Linked DNA regions of Coturnix japonica. The protein of the gene in region 3 binds, or shares a complex with, the protein of the main gene of each other region. Links are inferred from orthologs where the notes say so. Each region holds a gene or a part of one and is shown on either strand. Other genes may lie near its edges. The genes, in order: ACVR2A, FST and INHBA.

Evidence for each region.
Region 1: the proteins of INHBA (region 3) and ACVR2A are in contact, whole or in part, in a crystal structure (PDB 7U5P), measured with the Homo sapiens proteins. The link is inferred for Coturnix japonica from reciprocal best matches to the Homo sapiens genes INHBA and ACVR2A. Residues at the interface, in NP_002183.1 of Homo sapiens: Ile340, Ala341, Pro342, His346, Arg397, Pro398, Met399, Ser400, Met401, Leu402, Tyr404, Asn409, Ile410, Ile411, Lys412, Asp414, Glu421; in NP_001265508.1 of Homo sapiens: Asn36, Asp53, Lys56, Phe61, Thr63, Lys65, Val74, Lys75, Cys78, Trp79, Leu80, Asp81, Asp82, Ile83, Asn84, Val100, Phe102.
Region 2: the proteins of INHBA (region 3) and FST are in contact, whole or in part, in a crystal structure (PDB 2P6A), measured with the Homo sapiens proteins. The link is inferred for Coturnix japonica from reciprocal best matches to the Homo sapiens genes INHBA and FST. Residues at the interface, in NP_002183.1 of Homo sapiens: Asp315, Phe327, Asp337, Trp338, Ile340, Ala341, Gly344, Tyr345, His346, Gly360, Thr361, Gly363, Phe368, Thr371, Arg397, Ser400, Leu402, Tyr404, Asp405, Asp406, Gly407, Gln408, Asn409, Ile410, Ile411, Lys412; in NP_037541.1 of Homo sapiens: Trp33, Arg35, Val44, Leu45, Arg60, Phe76, Met79, Asp135, Glu152, Pro154, Glu155, Val180, Val181, Asp182, Gln183, Tyr188, Val190, Arg221, Thr224, Cys225, Arg229, Ser230, Ile231, Gly232, Leu233, Glu328.

The regions. Positions count from the first base shown.
Region 1 is NC_029522.1:31,388,833-31,396,566, reverse strand, and holds the start of ACVR2A (activin receptor type-2A), read left to right. Parts: upstream 1-3,219; 5' UTR 3,220-4,536; coding exon 4,537-4,591; intron 4,592-7,734. UniProt on the Homo sapiens protein: On ligand binding, forms a receptor complex consisting of two type II and two type I transmembrane serine/threonine kinases.
Region 2 is NC_029547.1:17,651,954-17,659,676, reverse strand, and holds the start of FST (follistatin precursor), read right to left. Parts: upstream 4,073-7,723; coding exon 3,991-4,072; intron 2,121-3,990; coding exon 1,929-2,120; intron 1,552-1,928; coding exon 1,333-1,551; intron 994-1,332; coding exon 769-993; intron 1-768. UniProt on the Homo sapiens protein: Multifunctional regulatory protein whose primary function is to antagonize members of the transforming growth factor beta (TGF-beta) superfamily including activin, myostatin, GDF11 or bone morphogenetic proteins (BMPs).
Region 3 is NC_029517.1:76,021,836-76,029,695, reverse strand, and holds the start of INHBA (inhibin beta A chain), read right to left. Parts: upstream 3,956-7,860; 5' UTR 3,850-3,955; coding exon 3,057-3,849; intron 1-3,056. UniProt on the Homo sapiens protein: Inhibins/activins are involved in regulating a number of diverse functions such as hypothalamic and pituitary hormone secretion, gonadal hormone secretion, germ cell development and maturation, erythroid differentiation, insulin secretion, nerve cell survival, embryonic axial development or bone growth, depending on their subunit composition.

The DNA.
Region 1 (7,734 bases), on a different chromosome or scaffold from region 3:
TTTAAGTCTGATGATAAGCATAGCAAGAGAAAACTTTGATGGGCAGACATGTGGTGACACTATTCAAAAGCAAACCAGAGAGAAGCTTTCAATATGATGCATCTTAACTTGTTAATGCTGCATTTTCTTGTGTTCCAAAGCTGCGTTATCAAGGTAACTGTAAAACACCTCAATAGTTTTGGAACAATAATAACAGCAATAATAATAATAATAATTCACAGTGATTTCATTGACCAGTCCACTAGAACTGAATATTTGTACTAAAACTCTTTTAAAATACAAAAAGTTTTACATAAATTCTGTATACTCATATGAAATTAAGAATAACTTTGAGGTAGCTGTTTACCCATGTATTTATGTAAAACAGGCAGCCCTGCAGTATCTGCATCTTTTCCCACAGTATGGAAAACTAAGCTGCCTAGAAAGGAGGAGATCCTTGCAAACAACACTGATTTCCTGCTGCTTTGCTCACTTCTTGTCTCAGCTCTATAAGGTCAGCGTTTGAAACACGTTTCTCTTTTCCTTCCAGGTATACTTAGAACACAAGGGGAGATTAACGAGGTAATGACAAAGGTTGCATCTATTATTGTTATTGCTGATATTATAAAGCCCATGTTTCTTACTCTGCATTTTAAAAATGCCTGCATAGAGACTACGAATGAGTCTTGCACAATAGATTCTTACCTACAATGCTGCTTCTGTGTAAACAGTATTGATCCAGTGTGGGAACGGCAAAGGCACAGATGAAACCCTCTAATCATAGCAGCGCTCTGAAAAGAAAAATGAGACAATGCTGTTTTTTTAATTCCCATTACTCCCTAAAAGGAAAGTTACATTTGTGCTGCCTCTAAACCAAGCAATGTGAACAATAGAACAAAACTAAGATCACATCCATTTCATGGTGTTAATGCTGCTGCTCACAGGCTCCCTGTAGATGTCTATGTCCCTGATACTGTGTCTTCAGTGCTCATGTGTCACAGTAAATGATTCATTAAAAACACACAGACAGACTGATCTTAGAAGTGGGCAAGAAGAGCTGGAGTTTAAGGCAAAGGGAAAAGAGAAGTAAAAAGTGACAAGGTAGAAAAGGGAAATGCTCCCAAAATCCACGTGAGCAAGGCAAGCAAAAAGACATCTAAAAAGAGACAGCAACTGTGTTGACATTTCATATCTCTTCGTGGGATAAAACTCATCCTTTTACAAACAATAATAGCAAGAACCCAGAGCAGGCACAAAGCATTCTGCATCAAGTACCTCACAAAAACACTAAGTAATTCCTGCTAAGGCCTGCACAATATTTGCACCTATCTACTTCATTTCTTTTTGGAAGCAAAATTCAACAGGAGCGAATCTCTGATGCAGTTCTATTCATGTTGTGTTTCCAAAGATACAGCTGAGCCCAGTTAAAGGTGTTGCATCCATGTAAGAAAACCGGGTTTTATTGTTCACATACTGAAAATAAGCACATTTCTGCTTTTTCTTAATTATTTCCTTTCTTATACTACATTAAGTAGCTGTGCAAATGATGAAAGGCTTGCTTAGAGTTGAAAATAGACCAATACCTATAATAATATTGATACTGCTGGACTGAAGACTGAGTGGGCTCCTTAACCCCAGACATCAGCAGTCATCCTAACCCAGACGTATCACTTGCCATGGTCGCATAAGGCTTCAAAATTGGAGAAAAAATAAAGGAATATATGTTTTGCTTATGATTCCTCTGATCCTGATGAATACAATGGCCGAGATCAGCCCTTTAAGGAGGATCGCTGCTTTTGTGGATGGCCAGGAGGCTCCACTCTGCTCAACTGACACTGCAGGCAAAGACCTGCCCATGGTTAAGAACAAGGAGCAACTTGAGAAATCTCGAGATACCTCCTTCCTTCCTACAAAATTCATGCAAATGTTACACAGGTGGCATATTTGTGCTATTATATCTATCTATCTATATATATAAACACATACAATGGCAATATTTTTAGCTGTAATTTCCTGCTCATGTGGCAACACGACAAGCATCCCGAAGAAGCTGAGCAAAGTGAAAACGCAACCTGCAGAACAGGTCACGTTTAAATACTCTGCTATTGAAGAATATTAAAAGCTACAGATTAAGTAGGAGTGTTGTAATGCATTAATTAATGCTTGTAAATCATCCTGAAATGCCTGGATTAAAAAAAATGGCATAAAAAGTGTTGCCACACATCCCGGTGCTTCATGATGCGCACGATCCCATACGGCTTGTTTGATTTTGGGGTATTTTTCCAATCAAAAACGTCACTGGAGGATGACTTTGTGTTGGTGTTTGAAGTGAGGATCATAGAATCATTAAGGTTAACAAAGAGCTCTGAGATCCCCATGTGGACCCACCCCCCATGCCCACATCCAGGGCACATCCATGGGATGGTAACCCCCACCCGGTGCAGCTGTGCAGTGCCTGGCTGCTCTCTGGAGAACAAATGGCTCCTCGTATCTACTCTGAACCTCCTCCAGCACAACTTGAGGCCATTACCCAGCCTTGACTTACGTTTGGTGGCCCTGCCAGGCAGAGGGGTTGGAACTACATGATCCTTGAGGTCCCTTCCAACCCGGGTCATTCTGTGATTGACTTGCAAACCCACACATGTGAATTACCTCGCACACAGCACCCAATGTAGCACCACGTAACGACAGCTCCCCACCAAGGGAACTTGGACCGTAACCCTCCAATGCACATCTATAGTTAGTGATGTAGTTATTGAGAACTTGGTGCTTCTTGCTTCAGAAATACAGAAGTTAAATCCCAGCGCTGAGGCCTTTGTGCTTCCCCACATCAGTCCTCAACACCTAAACAAGCATTTCTTTATCCCTGATGCAAACTATGGGCATCTATTAAAGCCACCAACGGGGCATTAAATAAAGGAGGGCTTCCCACCGCAGTCGTTACACAGAGCAGCTCTGAGGGCGGCGCGAGCACCACGCCCTGAGGCGGGAAGGCGGGGCGCGTGCACGCAGCCCGCTCGCGCGCCTCCTCAGCCGTGCGCGCGCACACGCGGGCAGGTGGGAGGGGAGGGGAGGGGGGAGCGCGCCCCGCCCCCTCGGGGTGGGTCTGGAGGGGGGCGGGGCCGAGCGGCGCTCCTCGCGCTGTGATTGGGCGGCGCGGCTGTCAATCCGATGCGGCGCGCTCTCGCACGGCGTGTCTTGCCGGGCTGCCGTGAGTGTGGAGGGGAGGGGGGGGAGGGGGAGGAGGAGAGGAAACAAAAACAATCGGCCGGGCGCCGCCATCTTGGGTCCGTTCTCCACGCCACACAAGTGAATGGGTAGATATGAAATTACCACAGGGGAGCAGCGGCAGCAGCAGGGTACGGAGGGTCGTTCCGAGCTGCAGGTTGGACTTGGGAGACTTTAGAGACGGCTCCAACCACCAGCACCGCCCGCAGATCGAAACCGGGCTCGGCCTTTTCTCCTCGGCAACCCTCAAACCGCACTGCTGGAGGGACAAAGTTGGTGTCCGCCGCTCTGACAACGGCAAAAGGGAGACGGGAGAGACCAGCCGAGATCCGAGCGGGACGGGAGTGAGGCGGGAGGAGAGCTAAGGACCGGGAGATAAGGACTGAGGGCTGCGAGCTCAGGGCTGAGGGCTGGGAGCTCAGGGCGGCACGAGGGCTTCTCCTTGTCAGCCCTTCTCCTGTGGGCCCTTCTCCTGTCGGTCCTGCTTCTCTTTTGCGTTTATTTGTTTGTTTTTCCCTCAAAAGCAGCAGACTCGTTGCGGGGCGATGTCCCCGGGGGCTGCCGAGGGAAGGGCCCTGCGGGCGGCCGTGCAGCCCTGAGCGGCCCCGCGGAGCGCAGCCACCGGGAGCCGTGCCTGGCCTTGCCGTTGCTTTGCTCTTTATTTTCTTTATTATTATTTTTTTCCCTTCATTTTGCGTTTAAATACCAAGCCGAGTCTCGGGGGAGCTGGGTGGGTGGGGGGGGCATGGAAGCATCGTAGGGGGAGGAATCGTCGTAGAGGGGGGGAATCGTAAATCGTGTTTCCCGTAGCGGAGCGCTCAGCCCCGCTGCCGCTCGGACTGTCGGAGCGCTGCCCGGAGCCGCCATGGAGCCACCGCGCTGCCCGGAGCCCCGCGCTGCATAACGGGAACCGGGACATAGAGCGGGGAAACACGGAGCTTCATGACGGAGTGAGCGCCGATACACACCGCCTCGGATCGCACCCGGCGGCTCCGCCGTTGACTTCAATCAATCTTCCTTTATTTGCCGTGGATTCGTAGCGTACTTTTGTGAATTAAATCCCGCCGCTCTTGGTCCAGAAGCCAAATGACACGTGTGTTTTGAAACGCCGCTCACAATAGTTCGAGCCCCCCCGAACCCGGATTCTCGCTTTGAAGCGACCGTCGGTCTCCAAACGACCCCGATTTTACTGTTTGGTGAACACTATCAACGGAGAAGTTTGCTCTAGATCGCTTTATAACGGTTCCGCAAGAAGAGGGGATTGTCCGGCTTGCAGGACCGAGAAACTGGATGCTAAAAGTCACTTAAATGTTCTAACGCCATTGGAAAATGGGAGCTGCTACGAAGTTAGCGTTCGCTGTTTTTCTCATCTCGTGTTCTTCAGGTGAGTGCGTGCTTTTGTTGCTTTGGGCTCAGCTGTTGGAAGCACGAGGTGATTGTATCGGTGGGACGAGAGGTCATTTCTTGAGATGAGGTTTAGGTTGGATACCAGGAGGAAGTTTTTCCCCCAGAGGGTGGTGATGCACTGGAATAGTTTCCCCAAGGAGGCTGTGGATGCCCCATCCCTGCAGGCATTCAAGGCCAGGCTGGATGTGGCTCTGGGCAGCCTGGGCTGCTGGTTGGTGACCCTGCACACAGCAGGGGGTTGGAGCTGGGTCAGTTTGTGGTCCTTTTCTATCCAGGCCGTTCAGTGAGTCTATGAAATGCCAAACGTTTGGGGATGGCAGTGAAAGATTCCTGTTCTCACTGTCATTCCCCGGTGCACAACTCTTTCAGGTACGTGCAGTGCTCATAGTGCTCGTGTGGGTCCCACCCGGGGCTGTGCCCACCTCGTTCACTTGTGGGCAGTTCCCGGCCTCGTGTTTGCTCCAGTGGATTATTTACCAAGCTGTGAAATATTCCGAACTTAATTTAGGGCTCTGGAAGCGTCCAGCGGTGGATGGCAACCTTCATTAATGCTTCATTAGTTCGGAATAATTGCTGTTGTGAAAGCATGAGCTCATCCCGCACCGATAGCGAGGGCTGAGCACGTATCGGTGCGTGCACCGAAACAGCCCGAAAAGCCAGACTTTCCATTTCCGAACAGTGATTTGTGTTCAGCTGTTGGGTTTCGTGTTTTGCCGTTCGGTTTTTCACTTTCTTAGCGCCTGAAACCCGGCGGTCGTGCTGTGGCTCTCAGACCTCAGAGACGAGCGGTGTGAGAGGCTCCATCCTTTGGGCTGGGAGGGAAATGGTGATGGAGCAACCGGTGGCTGGAGAGCTGCTGCCACCAGCTGCACCTGAAACCTGCAGAGCTGTGTAACACTCGATGTGTTGCTCGTGTGCTGAGCCTGACCCTTCCTGCTCACGTGCTGAATGTGTGTGCAGCCCTCTGTGTGTGTGTCGATGCACTTTTGGGCTCTGTTCTGTGCAGTGCAGGGACACACTTGTTGCTCATCCTGAAGGCCGGCTGGCTTTGTGCGGGACTGCTCCAGGGCGGTAATGAGATCTGCAGAGCGATGATGCCTTTGAAAACTTCAGCCTTAGGATGCGAGGGATTTTGCTGAACGGCACATTTTCTTGTGGTTAGTAAATGGATAGTCTAGTCTTGTGTCTGTAGTGTTATTGATCAGTTCCGTGTGGGCTAAATGTGCTGTGAAATGGCGATCTCTGCCAGGGAGAAACTGAAAAAAACCCTTTCTGTTTTAAGCAGACAAATAGCAGGGCAGGTTAGGGAGAGATGGGAGTGGTTTTTTGGGTTATTTTTCTTCAGATTAGAGTACGCCATTTATTCCTATTGCGAAACAGCAGGCGATTTCTTGCAGTGATTTTGTCCTGCCCTGGAAGCTGCCTTTCATCTTTCCCTGATAGCTTCTTTTGGAAGAACTCGTGGAACCACATTCCTCTCCATTCAGGAATATCTTCTGCAGGGAAACTTTTCCAGCCCTCTGTCCATTTCTGAAGCCGTGGTGCCATCTGTTCCTCCTGCCTGTCTCTCACCTCCACGTCCTTCTTTCTATCGAGCTCCCTCTGCTTGGAGCACAGAATAGCGACCTTGTTATCTAGCGTTCATTAAAAAGAGCCGTTAAGTAGCAAAACCTGTCCCATCTTCTCCATTTCTTAGTCACGGTGGTGTCGGTGAAACAAATATTTCTCCTCCCTGTAAAGGTAGGAATAATCCTCACTAAGGGATCGGAAGGTTGGCTGTGACTTGGACAGCGGTTCAGATATTAAGGGCATCGTTGTGGTGGTTATTCCTGTATTCCACATGAAGTATCCTGGTATTTAACACACATTAAACTATTTTCTGCTCTACTGCTTGGAGTAGTGGAGCTTCTGCAGACCTGGTGTGGGTATAAACATGAAGAGAAGGTTTTGTTTTTACACTCGGAACCATCCGATTCTGTGAGCTTCCAGCATGAAGTCCAGCGCTTTGATGAGCAGCGTTCCTTCTGATCGCTGGCACTCGCTCAGGTTCAAACTCCTATTGATCAGTCCATTCTCACATCATGGTCAAAAGAATAAGCTTCCTTTACAGTTTTTCAACGGAGAACGGAGTGGGGGGTGGGGGGAGGAACCTTCCTTCGATTGTTTATTCCAGAATATTGGCAGTGGCTGAAGAAATGCAGGAGTTCAGGTGTAAAGGCGACTGGTTCCACTCTCCAGCTGCTGGGCTCTGTGCATGTATGTATGTATGTATGTGTGCATGTGGGGGTGTTGGATTTCTGCCTTTATTTATTTGCAGTGTCCTTTGTGCAGCTATTTTCCAAAGTTGCTTACGTGGCCCATTAATGCTATTGTTCTTTAACTAGGTGAAAATGGTTTGTTCTGTGCCATGGGTGTGGAAGTGGGCTTCAGCATGAAGGCGTTTTATTTAACGATCTCTGAACTGCTGTACAGAATGCTGGGAGCTTCCTTCAGAGGTGTAGGAATTGCCAGTGAGTTCAATCTATCAGTCTTTGCTAAGAACGTGGGAATATTTCCACTTTCTGACTGTGGTATTTAAATAAGAGAATCTGTGTTATGGTACCGGCCTTCACAGCAGTTTGGATGGCTGGATAAAAGTGGGTATGGATTTGCACCCATTTATACTCATCCAAGAGAATGAGTTGAACGTGCAGGAGCTAAACTTCAAAGTGCCCCTGTGCAGTCATGTTTAGTTCCCTGAGCACCGTCTTTCTCATACCCTCCGTGTGTGTTAGTCCATGGAGGTGTTTGCCTGAATAAAGAGCCAAGGATCCTGAAATGATAATTAAGTCCTTCTGAACAGTAGACTACGCTTCCCGTGCCTCTGCTCATTGTAAGCAAGCTTAATAAAGTGAATAAACCAGCACGTTCATCAAGGAACACTTCCCTTCAGATGCTATCTCTGTTCTCCCCACCCCCAAGGAAGTGTTTCTGTGTTCCCTTCGTCATTACCGAGTTACTCATTATGAACTTTCAGGAATACATTGTACGCCTTCACTGCTCTCTGTGCTGTTTCCGAGCACGCAGCCCGTGCAGCTGTGAGTGTTGGGAGATGTTGAAGCAGTGGCTTCTATTTAACCA
Region 2 (7,723 bases), on a different chromosome or scaffold from region 3:
ATCAATTACTTTTAAACTAACCCACATAAAGCTGCTGTCTACAGGATTGTTAAGGGAATTCACCTCAAGCTGTGCCAACCAAAAGCAGCCTGAGATTCTCCAGCATCTCAGCAGCAATTTGGAAGGGCAGAGGTTGCCCTAAAGTTGCTTCCTTGCAACATATTTCACTATCTCCTCTTTCTCAAAATCACAGTGCAAAATGTCAGGATGCACAGAGGTTATTTTACTATCTTCACCCGATAGCTGTCCCCAAACTCTGCAATATTTTTAAAGAGTAAAAAGTAATCAGATGTTTCCAATTAAATTAATGCAAGCTTTGCCAAGACCACTTGAAGACAATTGTTTCCAGGAATTCAGATCCACTGAATATCAAGACCTTGTTATGCCGTAGCCATGTAATTATCGGCCTAATGGTGGATACTTCTCTCTTGGACACAAATGTCAGCACCCACAGTCATGGCAAGAGGAGCAGGATCAACCCCTCTATGCCCCTTTTGCAGTTTTTTTGTTGGTTTTGTTTTTCCTGGAGCAAAGCTCACTCTGACTCTCGTTTCTTATGGAGAGGAAAACAAACCAAGGCTGCTGGGAGTCTTACCTTCTCCAAAGCACAAACTTACTCCCTCCTTCCCTCACTTCCCTCCCCCTTCAAACAATCCATCCACCCATCCATCCATCCATTCACCCACCCACCCACTTCCACATAACATGATAAAACAGATGAGTTTGCAAGCTCCCCCCTGCACTTATCCCTCTGGCCAAGATACCTACTGATGCATTTTCCCTCGTAGGCTAATCCAATGGATCTGCCCAGCAGGCAGGTCGCTTTTCTCAGGTGGCAGGCACTGGCATAAGTTATGCCATCATTCCCACAGAGATACTGTTCAGGGGAGGTAGGCTCAGGGCAAATTCGATTACATGTCACACAGTAGGCGTTATTGGTTTGATCCACCACACATGTGGAGCTGCCTGGGCATAAAACATCCCTACAGGTCTCTGAAATAAAGATGGAAACAAAAAATGATTAATAGAATATGTGGGCGCCCCAGTGAGGAGTGAATTGGTGACAGAATGATACAAACAATCGGACAAAAGCCTTCAGCATTGGTACTCATTTAAGGGCTGCTGGAGACCTTTCCATCTCAGGGTAGCATGAGGAACACAACTGCTGCTAAACTGTGAGGAACTCTCAATCAATCCAGCTATATCCTAGACTATGAGCATGGTTGGAACATCACTCTGGTTACTGTGGAGAAGCATGCAGCTCCTCCTCTTTACACTCACACACACATCCTATGCCATTTGATGGAAATTGGAAGAGATTTGCAAACCTACTTTTGCACTTGCCCTGATACTGGACTTCAAGTTCGGGCTGTTCTTTACATCTGGCTTTGAGAAGGGCACACTCGTTCCTGTAGGTTTTCCCATCTAAGCCACACACGGGGCCCTTCCAGGTGATATTAGAGCAATCTGGAGCACAAACACACCGAGGTTTGTTCTTCTTGTTCATTTTACATTTCTTCCCGGGTCCACAGTCCACGTTCTCACATGTTTCTGAAGGAAGGAAAGAGGCATAACTTTATTACCAAACATGCAGAAGAGACTTGTGTCAAAAGCGCCCAAAGCAAAAAAGACATGGAGACCCCCGGGCATAAAATGACAGCACCCCTCACACTGCTACCATGCAGGAAACAGACCTGGAAGGAAATCCTGGAGCCAGGAGAGCCACGTGCAAAGAGCCCCCTCCCCATCTCCCACTGACCTGTGCGGATGAGGAGCAGCAGTCCCCCTACCCCGGCGCTGCTTTGCGATGGCCCTCAGCCCTCGGCGGTGGGCAGCACGATTACAGCACTGCCGTCTCCAGGCCCTCATCTGGCCACCCCATCAGGCCACCCCAAGCCCGAGCCACCCGCGACTCCCGGCCCCCTCACCTTTGCACGGGATGCAGTTAGGGGCTCCCCCATTAAAAATCATCCACTTAAAGAGCGTGTTGTCGTTGACGTCCTCCTCCGTCCACGAAGTCGTCAGGCGGCCGCTCTTGCAGCACTCCTCTTTGCTGAGGTCGGTCTTGTAGAGGACCTGGCAGCGGCCGTTCCGTGCCTGCCGGAGCCAGCAGTTCCCAGCTGCGGGGGACAGGGGCGCACCGGGCCGGGTCAGTGCCGGGACCAGCGGCACGGGCACCGCGCGCGCTTCGCACTGACTTTTACTGGACTGCTGGCATTATTTGTCCCGTTCCACAACCCGCATCCGGCCCGGTCCGCTTGGGTGAGATAACAATAAATAAATCAGAAAGAAAAAGACCGGATCAAAACAGCACGAAGCAGTTTCCCAGGTCTTTACTCCATATGTAGAGCAGAAGGAGCACTGCCGGCACGTGACAGAGGCTTGAAAAGGATGTGCATTTAAAAGGGAATAAAAAGAAAATCGCGCTTGCAGTTCCTCCCTCCTCCCCCTGCCCTCTCCGACGCGGCCGCCCGGCAGCATTGTGTTAGTGCCGCACGCACCCCAGCCCCAGCACGTTTTGCAATCCGCACCGACTGGGAACATTCGCTGTGAGCGAACTCTTTCGAAATCTCCACATTTCGCTTCTTCTATTAACAAACGTCTTCCCTTCGCTAAAACAACTCAGCGGAGCTCCGACAACAAAGACAAGAAAAAAAGTCAGCAAAGTACACGAAACAGGAGGGCACCCCGATAGAGCTCCCTGCGGAGTTCTTCAGAATCGATCACACTGGAAAAGTAGGAGGTGCTGTCTCCCCCGCGAGCGTTTCAGAGGAAAGCACGCAGCACGCTGTCCTCAAACCGGACAGTGGGTTTTTTTTTTCCTTTTTTTTTTTTTTTTTTCCTTCCCCCACTGGTATCCCTGTTATTCGTGGAGTCAAGCCAAGAACATGAGTCCAAGCAACTCCCCCTGTTTTAGCTGGAGAGTTTGGGTTGGGATGAGCCTCTCGTGCATAACCAGTGTGACTCCACCAGCGACTCGATACCAATTGATTATGGTGCCCACCCAGCCAAGGCTCGATCCTGCTCCTTCCTCCAACGGAGCGCACCGCACCAGGGCCGGGCTCGGCCCGCCGGGGCGCCGCTGGGCGCGAGGAACATCCTCCCCTCACCCCTCCCGGCTACAAAACATGGAACAAACAACGCCCTTGCAGAAAAGAAAAAAGAAGAAAAAAGAAAAAAAAAAAAAGAAAGAAAAAAGAGTTTTGCGTCTTACAGTTGCCTACATTAACTATTGCTCTAACTCGGGAGGGGGAGAAGAAATGGGAAAAAAAAATGAAAACCCAGACATGCAGGTTGGGACGCAATCAGTATCAGGTGGAAAAAAAACAAAAACACCCCAAACTGCAAATCACTGTTTCCTAGTGTCGAAAGAGGGCTCTTAAGAGTTGTCAGTATCAGGTTCAGGATCGTTTTGTTCGCATGGGAAAGAATAATTAAGTAAGCAAACTTATTTAGGCACACTCCTCATAGCAGGAGAATTTACAACACTTATTCACACACACACAAAGGGGGTGGGGGGAGGGAAGGAAATCCCAATATTGAGGGAATGCCCGGAAAGTGACCACCACCGCTTCTGAAAGTGTCAGCTGTGCGCCCGGGGCTTCTGTCAGAAGGCGAGATAAAAATCTGAGTAGAATTACCAACAAACTTTGAGCACTCGCTCGGGACATGAGCGCAGGAAAGTTCCCCGCGATGCTGCTCCTCATTCACGCTGCATAATCACGAGGAGTGCCAAGAAACATCCCCCCGTGCCCTCCGTGCCCATGCGGAGCAGGGAAGGTCCGAACCGAAGGGGAACCTACGTGACATCTCCGCGCCCTGTCCCGAGCAGTCCCGCGCCCGCTGCTAACTTCTGTCCGTTCGGACCTTGGAGAGAGGCGTGTAACAAACATCGCAGCGAAGTAAGCAGCGCCCGAAAGACGGAAAATAAGAGTAATAGTAACAACACTAATAATAAAACACACTTCCGAATAAACGCTGTGGTCTTACCCAGCGCTGTGTGATCTTCCATGAAGTGGTAGAGAAACATCAGGAGTACGAGCATGCCCGGGTGGATCCTCTGATTTAACATCCTCAGCGTAGCAGGGAGTGAGAGAGACACAGGAACAGCGTGAAGGGGAGTAGAGAGACGGAGCGAGCACCAGCCAGCCTGCTTATGATCGCTCTATTGAATGAACGTCAGGCTCTGAATGCAGTCTCTCTTTAAATCTATACGGGGGTCTTAGCTGTCTGCGGTGGGCGGTCTCCTAATGTGTGTGTGTGCCTGCTCGGGGGTGGGGAGATTTAAAAAGTTCAGTGTGAATCAGGTGACATTTTCCACCTTCTGGAAACCCTCTCCAATTATCTGCTGGAGGTGCACGCACACACGCGGGCGCGCTCCCCCGGGCGCGCACCCGCGCAGCCCCGCGCGGCGGCGGCTCGGCTCGGCTCAGCACGGTGCGGTGCGGCCGGAGATCGCGCAGCCTCCGCGGGCGCAGAGCGCGGTCCCGGCGCGGGGGGCGCAGCTGGGAGCGGCGCGGCTCGGGAGCAGCTCCCGGCCGGGGTTCTCCCCGCGCGGCGGCTCCGCGGCTGCCATCCCCGCGCGGAGCGGAACGGAATGGAGCGGAGCGGGGCCGCCGCGGGCGGGGAGGCGGCCGGCGGTGTCGCGGCCGGGGCTCGGCCCCCAGAAACCCGAGAGGGAGAGAGCGATCAGCCGAGCACCAAACAAACAAATAAATAAATAAATGGAAAGAAACCAAATAAAAGTTTAGTACGTAGGGCTCTGCCCAAGTGACGGCCTTTTTCACTGGGAGCCTGGGAGGACGAGACGGGAATGGGGGCGACGTAGGCGGTCTCCTTTCAGAATCAGAAAAGATTGCAACATCGATAATGAACTTCTAGGGCACTAGTTTATTAAGCACAGTCTGGCATTATTCTCCTCTTAGAAAAGTTGGCGGTCGCTCATTTATAACATTTTTGGCACCGCTGAATGAAACTGAGTAGGCGATATTTCCTTTTATACAAAACGATTACTTAACGGAAAATGGTATTGTTTATTCAAAAGCTGCCTTTTTAATTTCGATTCTTTCGCTTTTCTGAGCCACCAAAGCACAACAGACTGCGAAGTATGCAGACAGGAATGCCCGGACAGTGCCGGGTCAGGGCCCGGTGCGCGCGGCCGCCCGCGCCTCCCCCGGCCCTCCCCGAGCCCTCCTCCGCGCCGCCTCCGCCGCCCGCCCCCTCCCCACAACTGCAAATAACTCAGCGATAACAGATTTTTTTCCACCAACTGCAGGAGATAGTGCTAATCTTTTAATAAAAGATCCCATTACAATGGGATCTGTCTGGACAGACTATAATAGATCCAGAAATACAGCCGTGCTAATATTAGAAGACAGTTGTTTGGGTGCCTCAGCCCGGGCCCGGGTCCCGCTTTGAAAGTGGGCATGAATCACAATGTCCCCGGTGCCACCTGCAGTCACACGCATTAAGCGGCAGACTGGTAAATGATTGACCTCGTCGCATTTCTCTCTCTCTCTCTCTCTTTCTCTCTTTTTTTAATCCTTCATTTTTTCCTATTTCTTCTTTTTTTACTCTTCTGTCTTATTTTCTTTCTTTCTTTTTTTTTTCTTTTTCTGTTGTTTGTTATCATTACGACCACTGTCCCGCCTGGCGCCCAGGCATTTTCAGCACTTCGGGAGCACCGCATCCTTTTAAATCTATCTTTCTCCCGAATTGGTGCCGCTCCCTCACTGTCCCTGCCTCTCCCTCCGCGCACGCAGCGCTGAATGCAGGGTTGCGTAGTGCCCTCTAATGGCAGATGGCATTAACAATTGACATCGCAGCACTCCGGAGCCGCGAGGGAGCCCTCCGAGGCCGCCGCTTCTCGTGGAGCGGACGGACAGAGCCCCGCGTAGCGCCCGGCGGCAGCAGCGCAGCGCCGCGATCCGGCCCTGGGCACCGTGCGGGCGGCACTGCGCTGAGATCTGAGCCTGCCGCTCGCCCCGAGCTCACCTTTCACATAGGCTCACCTTTCTCCTGTTTTTCTCTTCTTTTTTTTTTTTTTTCTTTTTCATTTTTTGGCTCCCCTCTCCAACTTTATGATGTATTTTTCTTTCTCTTTTTTCTTTCTCTTTCCCTCCCCTCCCCCCCCCCCGGCTCCCCCCAAAATTGGCCCATATGGTGTTTATCCTGAAAATGTTTTCAACTATTAGAGAGGCATTTTCAGGCCGTATTCCTGGAAATGAGATGCCGGATGGGTCAATAACGTTTGCACATGTGCTTCATGCGTGCATCATCGGGAGATCAATATGATTGCGCTGGTATGGAGATTTGTATCACACCTGTTCTCTGACATCACATAGAAACAGCTGCTGTTTCTTTTATTGTTTTGTTTTGTTGTTTTTCTTTCCCCCCTTTCTTTTTCAAAAGCTAAATTTTGGGTTTGTGTGTAATGACATGTCAGGGATATATTGTACAAACAGAAATGCTCTCTTCTTTTTCAGTGTGTCCCTCCCTCTTGAACTTCCCCACCTTTTTCTCCTTTGCCAACTATCACATTTAAATTACCAAAAAAACAATAGGGTTGATCTGTAAATGAATTGTCAGGCAGCACACAAAAAGAGTGTTGTTCTCAGCCTGTCGGATTCTGAAACTTCTTTCTACCAAGAAGTGTATACATTTTAATATATGTGTTTGGATGTGAATCCATTCTCTACAGCTGGCCCTGAACTTAGAATAATAAAGCTTTTTGAAACACCCGCATACGTTGACATCTCAAACGTTTGGAGAGTTCAGATATAGCTCTCGGTTTGTGTAAAATGTGTGGTTTTGTCCTATCTCTAGTAGAGCTGTATCTACAGCAGACCCCAAAATATTAAGTGGCTGATCTCTTAGGAAATTGCTGTAAAACACTGAGTAGGAGGAAGAATAATCCCCAAGTGTAACCTTGTGTAACTGCTATTAACGCACATCCATGTATATGTGGATTATTTGTTTCATGATAAGTCAATATTCACTGCATCAATATGAGGTATTTTGTGTACTCTGTCTCCCTCAAAGTGCAATCTCTCGGCAGAGGAACTGTTGCCTGTGTCAAGAACAGGTCACCTCAGGACCTTCTCTTTAACAAGGAACATGTCTACTTAAAGTTTTTGTGGGTGTGGATGGATTGTGAGGAAAACCTGATTATTTGGAAGGGTTCTGGATTTGGAGTGAGAAAATTTGGAAGTCTGTCCAGACACTTCCCAGCCTAAAACTCAAGAGAGACAAAGAAGCCTCTGGTACCCTCCCACTGTCCTGGATGCATTTGTCATCTGAGCAGGTCTCTCACACAACTGGCATCTCCCATCGAGCAGAAGCTCCAATAAGGGTAAAACGTCCTCTTCTGGTAGCAGAGAAAACTTGGTAGCTTCACCTTATGGTCCGGATTATTGCAAAAAGAAGGGCCTGTTTCTGGAAAAAGGTGTTTCTACAAAGGCTGTCCTATTTCACATCTGCAGTATCAGATTTAAGGGCATTTCTGAGCACCACTGCTTCATTTCATTCTGCACAGATTTATTTCTTTTCAGTGTGAGGCAATTCAGACCTGTAGTGTCCTTTCCTGCTGCACTATTTTGACATGCTGCTTCTCAGAGTAGCACAGAAATTTGAAATGCAGAAGTTCAGTGATAAATCCTCTCAAACGTATTAACTAAATTCTGTGTTCTTTGGGTAGAAGGTATGTGGCCTATTACAGCAAAAT
Region 3 (7,860 bases):
TACTTGTAAAAGTGCCAGAGGACAGTAGGGTGCATTTGTAAACTTTTGCCCAATACAGTCATTACATTTGCAAAGATCTGCCTGGATTTGTTAGCTGTGAAAACTACCTGCCAACTATTTTGCTGATTTCCTGGACGTAACTACACCTGTGTTTCAGACAAGTTCACTGCATGTAGTTTTTCTCCTAATTGTCTGTATCCTGTGCTCACCTGAATTTTTATAAAAGAGCAGTCTCAAGCCAGAGCCACATGCACAGGGTACTGTCTGTTCATTCACTCAGTTTCATTGTATGTCTGAGGATACAGCTAGTGAAGGATGGAAATACTGCTTTTTTTATGAAGGCAAGCAGTAAACATGGCTTCTAAAAGGTAAGGGGAATGGCTGGCTTATGTCAAGTTATACCTAAAGGAGCAAAAAGCCTAAAGTCTTACTTCTCTTTCAGTAGACATTTATTTGATATAAGGCAATATGCTTCCATTCATTTTCATTGATTTTCTATCCCCTTTTGGAGAAGCAGCAAGTTTCATATTAAAAGCAGGAAGAACTTTAATCTGACTGTGAGAGTAACACACTCAGTTTTGCTCCTTGGTGCTTTAAACTTATTCCAGTTTCTACAGAGTGAACACTGGTAACTGCTCATGCGGCTATAGTATGTTCCTGACTATTTATTCCTAATAATTCCTATCTGACACACTACTTGCCTTCTTTTTGTCTCAGTTTCCTCAAAATAAAGTTGAGACACAATACTGCTGGTGGAGAAATGAAAGAGAACCCAGGAAAAGTTTTCTCAAGTTATTGCAGCCCTGGAACCTGTGCAGAATGGTGGGTCCACCACTGTTAGTGAGGCTCCAACTATGAACAGCTACAGATGAAAAGTAATGTTTCAACAACTGGAAGTCTCTCTGCAGAGTGGAGTTAACATTTCCACAGTAAGCCAAAGCGTAGAACTCAGTTTCTAGGTTGTTTCTTGCAGTTAAAAGCCTATCATGCATGGGATGTGGGCCTGGAGTAGCCTTCCAGGACAGGCTTGGTGGGGAGCTGGAGAGGAGAGCAAGAAAGGAAAGGCATAGGAACATAGCATATGTCCCTAACATGCTCCATAACATATAACATAAGTCTTCTTAAATGAATTTGGCTATCAGTTATGGGACAATACTATCTAAATCAAATTCAGTGATGCACTGGTGTGGGGTTGTTGCAGCAGGGGGATTAGTGGCTGAACTATTGGCCAGCCTGTGGGCTTGGGCATGATTTTCTCTGCTCACGTGGCCCTGGGAGCCATTGGCTTCAAGAGCCGCCGTTGGAGAATGTCGTACTGAGTGGGCATATATCAAATTCCAAATTCCTTTGTGTGAGAGCTCAGGAGAGACAATAATGTGTTTACAAATGATTGGGACTCACACAGGGACGAGAAACCACTGCTCATGCCATATATGTTTCAGAATGAGCTGCTGAATACCAGGTGGGGAATCTGACTCGTAGAGATTTCGCTGCTTTTAAAAGCTCATTTCTAAACTAAGGTTGAGCCACCCCTGGTTCTGGGGACCTCTGGCACTGATGTCTGCCTGCTTTCTGAAGTGGTGGGGATGGAAAAAAAAAAAAAAAAAAAAAAAANAAAAAAAAGAAAGAAAGAAAGAAAGAAAGAAAGAAAGAAAGAAAGAAAGAAAGAAAGAAAGAAAGAAAGAAAGAAAGAAAGAAAGAAAGAAAGAAAAAAGAAAAAAAGCCTGAGCTTGCATGCTGAAGGGACTGATAATGTGTGTATTGACAAGAACACCGAAGGCGAGGGGTCCCTGTGCAGTTGGAAATTGGACAGGCAGCAGGAATGTCTGATCTTAAAAGCATGCACACTTCTTATGCATGGCTTCCCTGCAAACAGAACATCTGAGTCAACAGGTTTTCAGGACTGGAAACTCTGAGTGTTGTCTTAATTGTTTATACTGCTGCAGCAAACTTTTAAACAAAAATGTTTGGTGTTCCTTTGCATACTTTGCCTACCATATGCTGTACCAAACAAAACAATGACATTCTTTTAAAACTGTCTTGGCAACAGGAAAAATGCTTTGGCTAGACAGCATCATAAAAAGTTGCTGTTAGATGATAGAGTTTTTGCAGGATATTGACATTGATGCATGCATAAACATATATATGCAAACAGATACATATGCACATACACATCCACTGATTTAAAATGAGTTTTTGTCCTATTCGTGTAGGAATAAGACAGTAAACTACAACTTTAAAGCTGTTTCTGATAGGCAGTTGATGTGAGCCTTAGCCATTAGTTAATAAATATCTATATTCTTAACCCTTACTATACAAGAGTTAGGAAAAAACAGAACTGTGAAAAAGTTCAAAATATAAACTATCAAAGTTGCTTTTTTTTTTCTTTTTTCTTTTTTCTTTTTGGCAGAAGCAGTTTAGGAGCAGAATTTTTTTTTCCATCATGCAGAAGTCTGCATTACAAATTGGATCAGCTACAGCAACTTGTCCAATTCTATTGAAGTCATCTGACAGTCCCTGCAACTCTTTATTGCCGAAGATGCTGTGTTAAATTAGAAAACAAAAAAGCCCTCTCACTTCTAAAAGTTAAAGCTGGCTCATCTGATTTTATAACTTCCACTGTAATTTTTAAAGGGCAGTTTCTCAAGTAGTTTGCAGCTTACTTTTCTGTCCTTAGAAAATCCCCAAATGCCTTGAGCCCTTTTTCTTTCACCATCAGCACTGCAATCCAGTACTTTAGTGCAAGTACTTTGGTTTCAGAAGCAGTTTGGAGCACCCCTTTGCAGCCTGACTTTCTGCTTGAGATGGGTTAAAGAGCTTCTTCCCTGCGCGTCTGCCTGTGACTAGCAAGTGCAATCTGCAGGCAAGACTAAATCAGAAAAATCAAATTCCTTCAGAGTCCCCGTCACCCCTCCACCCCCCACCCCACCCCATTCGTCCTTCTCCCTTCCCCCAGGTCTCATCTCACAACCTCGCATAAAGCAGTACTGCTACAGAGAAGTTAATTGCAGTTCTGATAAATAGGCTGTTTTACTGCTTTGTTTTTAAGCACTCACCTGATTCTGCAAAAGTGATGATTTCTGAGGTTTGTTCCACAACTTCATTCATTTCTGCTCTTCTTCCAACATCATCCTCTATTTCCACATAGCCATCGTCTCCCACCTTTCCCACATGGAGTTTCTTGATGGCATTTAAAAGTGCTGCCTTGGGCACCGGCTGGGTGATGTTAGGTCTGTCCCTCAAGTGCAACATGTTCAGTATGTGCCTCTTTACTGCTTCCACCATCTCAGGCTGTGAGCTGGGCACATCCTTCGAGAGCGTGGTGAGGGCACATGATGGACAGTCAGTGACTGAACTGTGCCCCTCGGATCCTGGGGTTGGGGAACTCCTCACTATAATCCAGCAAATCACCAACAAAAATCCTCTCTTCCAAAGCAAAGGCATCCTGGCAGCAAAAGTTGTTGTGATTCCCTTTTTAAAAGGCCCTGCTTTTCCTCCCCCTTCACGCACAGTTTTTTTGGGGGCTGGTTTGTGTTGTTTGTTTGTTTGTTTGTTTTTCTTTCTCTTCAGCAAATTCTCTGGAACAAGAACCAAAAGTTTTCTGTGAAGTTTTGTTTGCAGGTTCCCTCTCTGAATGCAATAAGTGCTGTAGATGTTAGTGGCTGTCAGGGAGAAGAGTTCTGACTCTGTCTCAGAGTAGGAGAGAGACACAGAGAGAGGGAGAGAGAGGGAGAGGACGGATTGGCCTAAAGTGAGTGAGTGAATGGGAGAGGGAGGGAGTTTTGTCTGTGAGTAAAGGCTATGATTAGGAAGGGGGAGGAACAGGCAGGCTGGCTTCCTTATGCTCATTGCTCCTCTAACACACACCTCTCTTCAAATATCACTACTCAGGCTTTCTGCCCTCCTGTGTAAAATCTCTTAATTCCTGTAAATTTACTCTTCCTTTTTCCCAGTTTGACCCTCCTGGGGCTCCCTCCTGGCTGTCGTCCCCCCTCCTTTTTTTTTCTTTTTTTTTGTTTTGTTTGGTTTGGTTTGGTGTTTTTTTTTGTTTGTTTTATTCCTTCAACAGTATCTCTGGCTTAACTAAACAGAGGAAACATGAATGAATGAAGAATGAAACCTTTTATTAATGAGCACCTTGCTCTTGTCCTGTATGGTATTGTTAGGGTTAGCAGGAGATCTTAAATAGCTTGTGAACAAGACCGGGATGATGGCAGGGGCTGAGAATATTTTGGGTAGAATGCTATTCTGCCTTGAGTAGAAAAGATCTTTTCTGCTCACTTGTAAATGCTGGAGGTTATCAACACTGGCAGGAGATCTGACAGAAACAAAATAATCCTGTTGTTTGGAGGGCTCTATTATACTTGATACTCTCTCCAGCTGCAGAATGCAAGCCAGGCACTGAGAGCAGGAGGAGCTGGTAGGGCACAGGTCTGTGACATGCAAAGGTACTACTCAGGAACCAAAAACATCCCTGCTACTATGCTAGTCTGTGCCTAGAAGTTCCTATTTAGGTTTGGGAATAATCAAGTAATGTCTGAAAAATGCTTTGAAGACGGAACATATTACATGTCATCTGGCCAAATCGTACTTGCTCCTGACTCAAGCAAATCCCTCATCAGTGCCAATAATAATTCTGTCTGAGTGAAGACTGAGTAAGATCTTCTACATTTGGCCCATTGTTATTCGAAGGAACTTTTTGTTTCATCCATTTAAACTACACAATCGTAATATTAGATCAAGACATAATGAGTGAAATGCAATCTTAAAGCACTGCTAGGAGCCAGAGTTCCAGTCCATGTCAGCAGAACCTTAGCAGTTTATTCCAGTAAGGCTTCTGCCCTGCAATGGGAAGTCTCTGTTAAGGCTTCACATTGCCTTTAACTTCAGCAGCATCTCCATTCTCCACCTTACTTAGCGAGGATAAAGCTAACAAACTCCTTCACACTTGGAGTTCGTAACAGAAACTGAGAAAACTACAGCTGATGGAGTTTAACTTCTGAGGTTCTTTCACGCTGGACTTGAACTTTTTCTGATTTTCTCAGAGCTTCTGCTTCTTTGGTATTTACCTTCTTTCATTCTCCCTCTCTCTCTCTCTCTCACACACACACACACACACACGCACAAACCTCTTTCTTCTTCTCAGGTGTGCTTACCTCCTTCCCAGAAAACATTTCCCTCTCAGTGTATTACCATCAACCATTGTATTTTAGTGGGAAAGAATAATTCATAAAGATAAGCATTGTAAGGTCTGTCGTTTTAGTGAGATAACTACAGGCATGCGGGCAGAGAGACAGGCAAGGGATTATAGTTAGAGTAAGTGAAACATACAGAAGTAATTGAAAAATCAACCAAGTTTTACAAATGTTATATATTTCAAGTCCTTTTCAATTAAGGTATTTTATAAGTCTTTCACTGTTAGAAGGCATTCACAGTACACCCTCATCTGCGTTTTACTGACCTCAGTTGCTATACTGTTATATACTGTTACACTTACAGGTCTGTCAGCATTATAAGCCCTGCAGCCATCTTGGTAACACAAACCTCGCTATAATACATTGAAATTTCTTGGATCTTGTGAACAGCCCAAAGTCTGAAAGTCAGCTTGAAATAGAACTACGAGTTTAATTGGACAAAAAAAAAAAAAAAAAAAAAAAAAAAGAGAGACATGAAAATACGCATTCATGATTAGATGTACTAACAGATGACATAATTAAAGGCGTTATTTATAGTTCTAATATAGTATCTATCCCAAAAGCGTCTGATGAAAAGTAAGAGATAGGCACATTTCAATTTAAAAGACAGACAGTACATTTGAGTTCATGTTGTGCGGTGTATGCTGCTTGCCTATATAACAGGTACACTTATCACAGTCTATTACATATAGGTATACTGTAGCATACCCACATGCCATGGTGATGACAGATTTAACGTTAAAGCATAACTTTCTAAAAGCATTGTTTTCTAAAAGCGAGTTTGCTGGTACCATTGATAGAGAGTTCATTCATACTTACAAATATGCATGCATACATACATAGATGTTCATGTCAAAAAACACAGTGTTTGAATAAATACAGAAACGATGGCTCAGATTCTTTCCATAAAATTACCTGAGCTGCAGAGCTCTGCATATGCATTCATCCAGCACTGCCTTAGCAATAGCAACAGCATGCACATGAATTAAAAGTTTTAGTTTTAAAAAGGAAGAAGCTGGTTTAAAGTTTTACCTCTCTAGTCCTCACTCTGAGAAGGAGACTGCTGTATTGTGCATTAAGAACTGCTGAAGTTCCTCTTTGTGGTACTTATAATGCGAAGCTTTATACTGTACTTCTCGTGTGTACACTCACATATAGTGTCTGTCAAAAGTAAGTGGGCCGGATCAGTGTGCTGGATTGGTTAATCCTGTTACATCAGCAATTGACTGTTTTTCCTGTATGAGACATACTTCTGGTAATTATCTAATGGAAACTCCTAATTGTCTAGCATGACAAAATATCGTGGATTCAACTTGTAGTGGAGATCTCTGTATCCATTTAAAGAATAGAACTTCAAATCAGACTGAATGCAAACACAATGAGTCAGGAAGACACTCTCCAACTTGTTTTATTGCATAGCTAGTTATAGATATTATGTAGTGTAGATAACACTGATTTAGTTCAAATGCAGTATTTGCCAGATATTTAATTACTAGTTAGCAAATTGTTTTAGTCTGCTATCACGCTAAGGATATACCAGATAATCTAACTGCAAATTTGGATTATTTTCAAATTCGGGAAAATGCATCTGCTTAAGAATCCTTTTGCAGAGGATATAATTTTTAGTTCACTCTTTGTATATATATGTCCTTTTGTTAACTTAGGCATACTTTTAAAGTTCTTCAAAAATGAATCATATTGCTCATGTCCAAGTCTCATGGCTTCTTGACGTGCAGATTACATCACTATTAAAAACTATTTAGACATCTAAAAATAAGTTAAAATGAATTACAGGTGAAATAAAACCAACTTAAATTTCCATTTCATTTTACATTAACAAAACTCAAAAATTACTGCCTGCCAATTAGGCAGTACAAAATTAATATATATACATAAGGTCAAAAGTAAATTCAAAATCAGTCTCCTTTCTTAAATACACATAATAACTGGTTTTATGAGGTACCGTTTATGACAAATGGCATGATCATGCAGTCTTTACTCATTCAAAACACCCACTGATTACCAGAAAATCCCCATCCTTCAGATTTTTTATTTTTTTATTTTTTGGCCTGAATCGTACTTACAATTGTATTTTTATGTCCTGTTGGTAATGTAAATTTAATCTGTCTCAGAATAAGACTGCTGTGGATCAGGCAAAAAAAAGACTTGAAATTTTCAACTCCCTGATACCAGGGAGTACTCAGAGCAGCACCGATTCCAACCAAAGTATGTGCTCTATTCACACAACAGCTTTAGTAGAATGAGCAAAAAATCAGGAGTTAATGGGAAACATATGACCAGATAGGTTGTTTTGTTTCCCACTTTTTACATGCATATAATAAGTTTTCAAGCTGCAATGTGCTGTGGATTGAAGCCTCTTGAAACAGGTTTCATTAGTTTTTTCTGCAGTCTGACACTGAGGGTTCCAGTTGTTGCAAAGAACATTTTATTTTTATTTTTCCTCCTTGAAGGACAGCGAGAGAGGCATGCTTGAAGAAACAGATTGTGAGCATGCACGTACCTACTTCTTTGCAGGACAGTCACTTTTATGGGGATCCTAAACCCAAGCTTTGACAGAGGTCTCAGAATGGTGTTTTTCTCAGGACCAAACTGAATTTGGTTTTAACCAGTGTCCTCTGAAATTAGTTACATACTGGTGGCACAG